2 linked regions of the Drosophila melanogaster genome follow. The protein of the gene in region 1 interacts with the protein of each later gene in a pairwise test. Each region holds a gene or a part of one and is shown in the gene's direction. Other genes may lie near its edges.

The links.
Region 2: the proteins of BOD1 (region 1) and Sf3a2 interact in a two-hybrid assay, tested with the Drosophila melanogaster proteins (one large-scale study listed by BioGRID).

Annotation. Positions count from the first base shown.
Region 1 is NT_033777.3:27,936,869-27,943,586, forward strand, and holds BOD1 (biorientation defective 1), read left to right. Parts: upstream 1-1,693; 5' UTR 1,694-1,826; coding exon 1,827-2,050; intron 2,051-2,108; coding exon 2,109-2,779; intron 2,780-2,838; coding exon 2,839-5,265; intron 5,266-5,566; coding exon of another isoform or gene 5,567-5,574; exon of another isoform or gene 5,575-5,716; coding exon 5,717-5,850; 3' UTR 5,851-5,910; downstream 5,911-6,718. Other genes in the region: NSD (nuclear receptor binding SET domain protein), read right to left, coding at 1-469, 563-881.
Region 2 is NT_037436.4:12,812,422-12,816,013, reverse strand, and holds Sf3a2 (splicing factor 3a subunit 2), read left to right. Parts: upstream 1-1,994; 5' UTR 1,995-2,106; coding exon 2,107-2,901; 3' UTR 2,902-2,986; downstream 2,987-3,592. Other genes in the region: CG42588 (uncharacterized protein), read right to left, coding at 1,134-1,482; Sap130 (Sin3A-associated protein 130), read right to left, coding at 3,185-3,334, 3,398-3,505, 3,564-3,592.

The DNA of each region.
Region 1 (6,718 bases):
TCCGTTTTTACTGACTTTTCGTCAACCTCTTGCTGGTTTTTTTCGTCCAGTTCGAGGGTTACTTTCGCCTTCGGCACTCTTTTCATTTTGCGCTTTACGTGCTTGCGAACGATTGGCCGTATGCCCAGGTCCTCGGAGCCCGCCTCGAAACCGGTGCTGTTGGGCGAACTAGCGCCGTTTTTGATTAGCAGCTTCTCGATGGGGCTCATGTAGGTCTTGCTGAGCAGCTGATTAGCGCTATCATCTCCACCACCTCCTCCTCCTCCCCCGGGGGTCCTTGGTGACGCATTATCATGGGCCAGGGTCTCGCCAGCACTGCTGTTATTTAAAGCCGCCGCTTGGTTAACGCGTCGCCTCGTCGTGCGTATTGTGTCATCGGAATCGGAAAGCGGCGTGGGTGAGTTGGCATTGGCATAGCCAATATATTTGGGGCTCAGCGCCGACTGCAAGTTGATAAGATCTCGTTTCCCTAAAGCAGCACACACAGGCGCACACACAAAAGCAGATATATTAGCATATGGACGGCATACGGCGGGGTATATTGCGCCATTGTTACACTTACTGTTCACCATGGACACACGCTGTTGTTGCTGTTTTTGGACTGGCGTCTGCCGCTGACTCTCCAGCTCCGACTCCTCCGCCGCGGGCTGTGCGCCGTTCTGCACCGGGTTTTGGCCGGGCTTGTCCAGCAGTCGAACCGGAGTGCTGTTGTTGGTGTCCCTCGGAATTTCGACATCATCGCCTTCGGTGGCCACCGACTCGTCGTTGCCCGCAGCCACTTCGTCGGTGGCGGTCAGGGAATCGGACGCGGAGTTGCACAGCACATTGCCGTGGGCAGCGTCGCCCTCGATCTCGGAGTGCGCGTCCGTGCTCAGCTTCATTCTGCGGTCCAGTTTAATCGCGCTCTCGTCAATTAAACACTACCGTTAATTCGACAATTTCTAAGAACACAGAGGCTTCGCTTGCGCCAAAACTTCGACTGCAACCGTGGGCATCGCGGTAGCTATCGATCCATCGATACGATCGCTGAAAGATAGGCGTCACACATTCCTATCGATTATACTTAGCCAAGATTCGCACCGTAATGCACAGTGAGGCGAAGTGTTTTCTTTTACTTATAGTATAGTTATATAATTAATAATAATTTTTATAATAATTTTTGAACTAAATCATAAGCGCCGCGGGGTGTTCTTTTATTCGCTCTCAGGCACGTCATCCAATACAAATTTCTAACTACAGGTTTCTAAACCTTCTATATAAATTTTTTGAAAAGGTTCCTTAGCCACGACTGAGGTACTACACTGGCCAGGGGACTTCGTTACAGATTGTTTTTATAATAGTTATTCGGAGTTAACAGATACTGCCATGTATTGTTGTTTTCCAAAACTAAATATTTTAACTTTAACTCAATTCTTTCACCTTACCGAAAACAACGTGAATACCTGAATTTTACATTAATATGAACATTTAAGTTCTTAATGTATAGCTGATTAAATGCAACTTGGCTTTAAAGGTAAAAACTCGGTGGCACAAATATTTCTATACTTTATTATTCTTTCATTCATAACTCAAAAGTAAAAATGTATCTGTATCTGCAATTCGTCAAATTTGGCTAGTAAAACTGAGAAGTTGGCATAGCTACCGCTCACGCACGACGCCCGGATCCAATCAGGGCGAAACTCACGTGGGGCGGCCATCCCTAGCGTAAACATATGTACATACATGTAAACGCATGTAAAGACAAACTCGACGTTTATCCTGGATTTCCTCGGCACTCACGGGTGTTGCGGCAAGCAAAAGCACACGAATAACAAGGGCCAAGGAGCATGGACGACTTTATCAAGACACTGATTGCCGAGGTGAAGTCGCAGGGCGTCTTCGACGAATTCCGATTCAACTGCTGCCTGGCGGACGTGGACACGAAGCCCGCCTACCAGAATGTGCGCACCCAGGTGGAGACGGCGGTCAACGATTTTCTGGCCAAGCAGCAATGGACGCCCGAGACCAACAAGGTCCAGCTGCGAGAGAGGCTGCGCAAGCACCTTATGGAGTGAGTATGCTTCTGGCGGGGCTTGGGTAACCTGGGGTAATCACATCGACTGTTTCAGCTCCGATGTCCTGGACAAGGGAGTGGACCAAATCGTGGACCAGGTGGTCAATCCCAAGGTGGCTACCATATTCGAGCCAAAGATCGAGAGCATTGTCTACAAGTACCTGGGCATCACACCACCTGCGCGACCCACTATGCTGTCAGCTCCGCCTTTGCCGCCATTTGGTGCCCACTTGAACGGCAGCAGCCTGCTCAATGTGGAGACCACGGTTGGTCTGCTGCCCACGGACCTGGAGCAGATAAGTCCAGACTCCGATCGGGCTACCGTCAAGTCGGAGTCGAGGGATGACGAACTTCCGCCCGGTGTAGACGACGAGGACACTTCGCCATCCTACGAGCTAGTGAGCGAGCGGAAAACACTTGCCATCAAGGAGGAGCTGAACAACGTTTCGTTGAATAACTCGGATTCGGTGAACGGCGTCTCCCAGGCGTCGCAACTTTCGCAGGTTTCCAGTGACAGCCGCCTGACCATGGCGTCGTCCACGGAGTCCATGGTTGATAGCCACCAGCACACAGCAGCTCACAACAGTGGGGAGCCAGAGAACATTTGCGAGGAAGCGCAAATGCCAAAGTTCAGCGAAAACTCTTGGGATGCTAGTGCGGGAACAGGCCGAAGCGAAGGTCGACAGCTTCACTTCGACATCAAACAGGATGCCATTACCTTCGAAGGTGGGTTTGCCGGGCGCCACGATGGGTTATTTAACTTCTACGATTTCTTTTTCGTGCAGGTACTGAGCGAAAGAACTCGGTGTCGGAGACGACTAGCACAGGCCTCCAAATTCTTTCCATCGAGGATGAGATCATGTCGGAGGTGAAGGCAAACATAGACGACGCCAACAATGCCAGTATTGAGTCTATAGCACCGGAGCCTGTACAAGTGCCAGCACCGCCGAAAGTTAATCCGCCTCCTCCTCCGCGGCCAGCCTCGCCAAAAGTAGAGCCTCCTCCGCCGGCACCACCAGGAGTTGAGTCGCCGCCAGGGCCCCAACCACCAGCGTCACCTCGTTTTGATCCACCTCCACCACATACAATTGAGCCACCGCCACCACCAGCACCACCAACACTTGTGCCACCGCCACCACCAGCACCACCAACAATTAAGCCACCGCCACCCCCAGCACCACCTACAGTTGAGCCACCGCCACCACCACCACCAGCACCACCTACAGTTGAACCGCCGCCACCACCACCACCAGCACCAACTAAAGTTGAACCACCTCCTCCACCGGCACCAGCTGAAGTTGAACCACCTCCTCCACCGGCACCCACAGAACTTGAACCACCTCCTCCTCCAGCACCACCGAAAGTCGAGCTTCCTCCTCCGCCAGCCCCACCAAAAGCTGAGGCAGCTATAACGCCCCGAAGGGCGAAAGGTAGTAATGGATTCATCACAGAGCTGGCCGTGACACCCAAGGAGTCGGAAACTCGGGATAAACCACACAATGTAAACACGGATGTCAAAGAAGATGAGCAACCAGCAACAACTGAAGACAAGCAAGATAAACCCCTAGAGCTTGGATTGGATGCACCAAAAGACGCTGTTAGCACAGCGTCTGAGTCCACGGAGTCGCCAACATCCACGTCCTCGCAATCAAAAAGCCATTCGAAGTCTAGGGATAAGGAAAAGGAAAAGGATCGGCGACACCACAGGCACTCAGATGACAAACACCGGCGAAGGAGCACAGATCGGGACCGCGATCGTAGTCGCGACAAATCGCACAGCAAGCATTCCTCGAGTTCCAGCTCGAAGCACTCCTCATCGAACTCCTCCAGCTCGAAGCATAAGAGTAGTAGCTCCAAGAACGATAAGAGCTCCTCAAGTTCATCTAGCCGGAGTAATCGAGAGTCGTCGTCATCCAAGCGCTCGGGAACCACTTCTTCATCACGCCACGAATCTTCCTCACACAAAAAACACAAGTCCAGTTCATCATCCTCGCGATCGGAACGAGATAAAGGCAAGGAGAAGGATAAGGAAAGGGAAAAGGACAGCCAAAGTCGCAGCCACCACAGCAGTAGCAGTTCCTCGTCGTCGTCAAGGAGAAAAGATCACGACCGAGGCCGCGATCGTGATCGTAACAAATCAAACACTTCTGGCAGTGCAGAGAACAAGGCTATCCACGATGATCATAGCGAGAGCAAAGAAAAGTATAAGCAGCGTCGGGGTTCCGACTCAAACGACGAGGGGAAGCCTCCAAGTTCTGGTGGTCCGGCCAAGAACTCCCAGCCGGAGGATTCAGCAGCTACAATGAAATCAGATGCGCCCGTGGAGAATGCTAACGGCACGAATGGAAACTCCAACGGCAGCACCAATGGTGCTTGCGACAATGTCAGCGGTGTTGTCATCGTGAGCGACATCCTGCAGCAATCGACGAGCAGTTTTGTTGAACTGACCGCTGGATCCCAATCGCATGACAGAGCGGAGAGCAGTAAGCATGAACCCGAAGATATAGACGGAAAAGAGGCGGATAATCAGCCGGAAAAAACAGAATTGGAGGCAAGGCAAGACGAGTGTGCTTCGCAGAATGAAGTGCCAACTGTAGAACCTCAAACTTTAGCTGACTCCGTTCCCGATTTGCCAGCCAAGGAAAGCATGGATACATTGGAAGACGAAAAGGTAGAGACCAATGTCGAAGAGAATAAGTCAGAAGAGGAGAGCAAACCGGAAAATCCTCCCGAAGAGTGCGTCGACGAACCTGCTCAAGTCGGCGATGTGGAGGATCCACCGCAAGATGCTGACAAACCCGCCACACCAGTCCCAATCTCGAATGAGCAAAGCGACGAATTTAGTGCCGACTTTGTGACCCACTTCGAAGAAAACACAGACGAGTTTAGGACGCGTCTGCAGCTCATCAATCAACTGATAGAGGATCGAAAGAATTTGCTTAACAGGTTAAGTGAGGATGGAACACAGGAGGAGGCAGTGGATATACGTGCCTTGCGACGCAGCCTCTCCAAGCGAAGACGGAGCAGCATGCAGGAGCAGCATCGAGTGGAGCGGGAAACGACACCGCCGCAGCCTAGAAGTCCGAGCAGCAGCAGCACCGCCGGCAGTCCGGCAAAGAGACTGCGACAGGACGAGCCCAAGTCATCGCCAACACCATCTGACGCCAGCATAAACTCGAAGGAGAACGAGGCACTGGAGAAGCAGGAGCATGGTGCGTACTGTATCATTGCTAAGTTTCATTTGGTGTAGCATTTGTTCCTCGAATCTCTCTTTTGCTAACTCTCACAAAGGGTGGATCGATGCAATTGAATTGTCGTATGTCTTAACGTTTAGTGAAAATCAAGTAAAAATTGATAATAAAGTCTATAATTAACACAAATCGATCCACCCTGCGAATGTGATCTACATACATACATCTCTGTTCTCATGCTCATCCTCAATATTCTTCTTTACCGCCTCTATTTTCTCCCCCACACGCATCCGCATTGTTAACTAATATACATAATATGTAGCTGTATGAAGCCACCACTAGTAGTCCTAACCAAACCGCAATGGAGCTGGGTAAGCGGTTCCCGCGCGATTCTCTGTCCTTTGCCCGCCGATTGTTGATGCTTCGAGCGATTCCCGTGAATGCGTGTGACTAAAGTGCTTGTTTTTATCAGCAGACGCCCTGTCCGCCAGGCGACTCAGCAAGAAGCTCTGCCAGCAGCAGCGGTACACCAACGATGATCTCTACAAGCCCCGTCCAATCCTGTCGCAGCGCTCTCGTCGCCGGGGCCTGGACTCCATTCTCTAGCCAACGGATAACCTGTTATCGGAAACAATAAAAGGCAATTGTTGTTAATGCATTTGACATAAAACAAGTCTTCGTTTCTTTCATCCGTTTAATGGGCCATTTCGCTTGCCAATGGTTTTGCTTCCGCTTGTTTTTTTTTCGTTTGAATTCTTTAACAATAAAATTGTAATTTAGCGCTACACCTTACAGTTTAATAGTCGCCGGTGCAGCATATCCATATATATTATGCATATATATAAACAAAAATAACAGTGAACGTAATAATATGATGCATTATTGTATATTTTGGGCGATCCACTAGCCTTGATCCCCGGCACTCAACTGCGTCTGCTACTCAAGGATGTGGAACTCTAGCACTGAGACGAGGATAATGTGTGATGATAGATCGAAACAGTCGAGTGCGTGGAGCAAGGACAATGGACATAGCTAGGCTACGGCTCTCTACATGGGGCTGGTTAGTTATAGTACCGGGTGTAGATTATGGGGCATTGTAGGTCTGGGGGAGACGTAGTTCTCTGGGAGCTGTTTTCTGCTGTATCTGCTGTTCCTTATATTTTGTAACATCTCAGTTTGAAGATTTCGGCTGTAATTTGATTACAAATTATTGAATTTTTCCTTCTGCCGCGCGAGCGTGTGCTTTACATTTTTGCTCTTGATTACTTTACAACGATCAACATAAATATATGTATGTATATGCGTATATCATTTGAAAATTGTTTAAAAAAAATATATATATAATTGTTGTAAATCAAAGGTTGTAATACATAGGTAATAGTATTTTACAAGAAGGTTATCTCATTTCAAAGTAACATAGATACAGTATCATCATTAGCATATACTTTTAACAAGAATTTCGCACTTTGCCTAA
Region 2 (3,592 bases), on another chromosome or scaffold:
CACACAAACGGCAGTTTGACCGCAATGGGATTTGAACCCGGGCCAAAAAGGGAATTATGTTGCCTCGCATCGACGCTTCGTCCCTAACCTCATTTTGAGCGCGCACTTGACGATTGAACCACCGAAAGAGTACGAATTGTTGTGGCACGAGTGGGTCTTGAATCTAGTTTGCCAGACGAGTAGTCAAAAAAAATATTTACCCTTTCAAGGGTATCATATTTATGAATTAAGCTCATTATCCCTATTTTACAATTAAGTGTAAAATTTTATTTGCTTTTGACCAATTAAATTTTCATAATTTATGGCTTTACGTAGTTAGTACTCTATCACACAACAACAAAAATTAAATGATTATTGATTAAACTCATTATTCAATTGTTAAAATTTAAAAAAAAGTTTTCGTTAAAAACTTTTTGTGTTACATTTAACAACAACGACAAAAATATTGAAGTGTTCTAGTATTAGCAGTATATTTCATCTCATTTCAAAGAAAAGTACCAACTAATCTAAATGTCCCGAATTAATTTTTTTTTGGTTTTTTAAATTTATTTATTAAAAGAATATTAAAATATACATAAAATATCCTTGTAAAACATGTGATTCTCTTGGCTTATTAAAATATCGATCGTTTTAAATAATTAAATACCAAATTATGTTATTCAATATAAATTTTATTGGCAGTATGTTTTGGAAATAATAACGTCCTGTTTGACAAGTGAACATATTGTAGATGTTCAGATACAGATACAGATGGTTAGCCATCCTAATATTTCTAACCTATAGACCTGAATTTTTAACAAAAATAGACTTTTTTAAACTAAAAAAAATTATTTTAGGTTGCCATTCGAAATACGTAAAAAATAAAATATATCGAGATACACGAAAAGAAAGTGAAGGCGCCGCACTCACTGCGAGACGAACTCAGAACAATTAATACAAAAACTAACTCTTTGACAATCTGTCGGCGTCTCAATCAGTTGCACCATCGTTTTGGTTTTCGGTACTGTGCCCAAAACTCGTAGAAGCATTTAGACGATTTTCGTATCACTTGGTACAAAACCCCTGGGTTTGTAACGGTTTTTTGGGCGATGCACAGCTTAAAGCAAATATATATATATACAAGTATGCATTACCAGGCTGACGCAATTGTTGTTGTGGCGACTGCAATTTGCTCTCTGGCGCAGTTGGCGTCGACTGCGCTGCGGCAGAGGTGGAAAGACTGGTGGACGATGGGGCGTCCACCCTCTTGGCATCCAGCTTCTGCTTCCTAAGCACCTCGGCCAGCTGCCTATCGAGTCCAGCCTCCTTGAGCTTGTTGAAATCCAGCTGAATCTTCTTAATTATTCGCTTGGGCGGAGCTGCAGCAGTTTTGGTGGCGTGTGGAGGAGGGGCGCTGGTGGGATTACCGGGCTTCGGTTGATTAGAAGTGGTGGTCATTGGCGCCGGTGGACCCATGATGACCTGTTTGCTGGAGTTGTCCATTTCGCGGTTACTTTAAAAATCGCATAAGACACTGGCACTGTTTATTCCACGAAAATGACGACAGAAATCGAAATTCTTAAACACTCGTTGCTTCGATTTTTCTCAAGTCCGACGTAATCCACGCAGTGACATTTAAATAAAACACGCTTTTCGAGGCCTAGTACTTGTCACCAACACTAGTTTACTTTAGTTTAGATCGCTGTCTAGACATTTTTCACTTTTTAAATTCTAAAAAAGATCAAGCATGTGCAGCTCGAATTAATAGTGTGACCGCTTTGAAAAAGTAAAATATTCTCAAAGCTTCGGAACGAAAATATACCAAAATATTATATGTAATTCTTTAAAAAAACATCGCAAAAGGAATATATAAGTTATTTTATGTATATTACAGTTTGCAAAAATTTGACTATCATTAAGAATTTTAATGGATTTATGAAACATTCTATTATTTATTTAATACTTTAATCCTGCACACGAACTATCGATTGACTCTGATAAACTACCACCCCTAACCGAATTGGCGTTTCTTGACAACCCTGTTCTGTACAACAAATTTTCATGAAATTTTACCAACGCAAAACGTTTTTCCTTCGTGCGGTTGAAAACTAAAATAAAGTTTACAAAATGGACTTCCAAAACCGCGCCGGCGGCAAGACCGGCAGCGGAGGCGTAGCCTCCTGGTCGGAGACGAACCGCGACCGCAAGGAGCGACTGCGTCAACTGGCCCTGGAGACAATCGATCTGAACAAGGATCCGTACTTCATGAAGAACCATCTGGGCTCCTACGAGTGCAAACTCTGCCTGACGCTGCACAACAACGAGGGCAGCTATTTGGCCCACACGCAGGGCAAGAAGCATCAGGATAATCTGGCAAGAAGAGCCGCCAAGGAGGCAAAGGAGGCACCCTCTTCGCTGCTGGCGCCCGAGAAGCCCCGCGTGGAACCGAAGAAGTTCGTCAAGATTGGACGACCCGGCTACCGGGTGACCAAGCAGCGTGAACTCAGCAACGGCCAGCAGTCGTTGCTCTTTCAGGTGGACTACCCGGAAATCACGGAGTCCATTGTTCCGCGTCACCGCTTCATGTCCGCCTACGAGCAAAAGATCGAGCCGCCAGACCGCAAGTGGCAGTACCTTCTCTTTGCCGCCGAGCCGTACGAGACCATAGGGTTCAAGGTGCCGTCCCGCGAAGTGGAGAAGAGTGAGGGCAAGTTCTGGACGCACTGGAACCGTGACACCAAGCAGTTCTTCCTTCAGTTCGCCTTCAAGTTCGAACCTAAGATCCTGCCGCCACCGCCGCCGAATCTACATAGGGCACTAGGCCCCCCAGGCGGATTCCCCATGCCGGGACCGCCACGTCCTGCTATGCATCCCATGTTCAATGGCGTTCATCCACCGCCACCCATGCTTTCAAACAACTAATTCATCGACAATGTTTACGGGATTTCTCCAAACGCAAGCCGATTACCACAGAAATATTCAAATAATAAACAATTTTCTACTTAATACAACTCGAGGGTTTTTGTATTTGTGTTTCTAGCTTAATAAATTGAAAAAATATTGCTGGTTTTCTTTGTAGCTGTACGACTTACAAATCGATCGCGTTTAAGGTAATTATCTTGGATTCTATAATTTCTGCTTAAATTAGGTAATGTACAACTTATTAATACACACTTGGCTGGCCATCTCCGTTCGTCAATTACTTTTAGATCTTTTCGCGCTTCTTGAAATTCCTTTTCGAAGCGCAGCGGGTGATTATATTAGAAACGTGTGGCTTATGCTCGAAGATCTTCATTAACTGATTCTGTGCCTCGTTGATGCCATCGGTAATAATCTTGCTGCGTTGAATGTTTCCCTGCAAAGTAAATTGGTTTTATGTTGAGATTCAAGCATAATGGATATAAGTATAAGAGCGCACCTTTAGCAGTTCAGTGACTCGCTCAATTTCGCTGTGCTTCTCCTTGTCCTTTTCGAGATCCTGCAGCATGGTCTCCAGCCTGCCCAGACTAAAGACTTCCGATTCATTCTGTAAGAAATCAGTTCAGTCAAAGTAGCCTACCAATACTTTCGTGCCCATTGCTTACCAAGTCCTCCATTTGCGAGCGTAAATGAT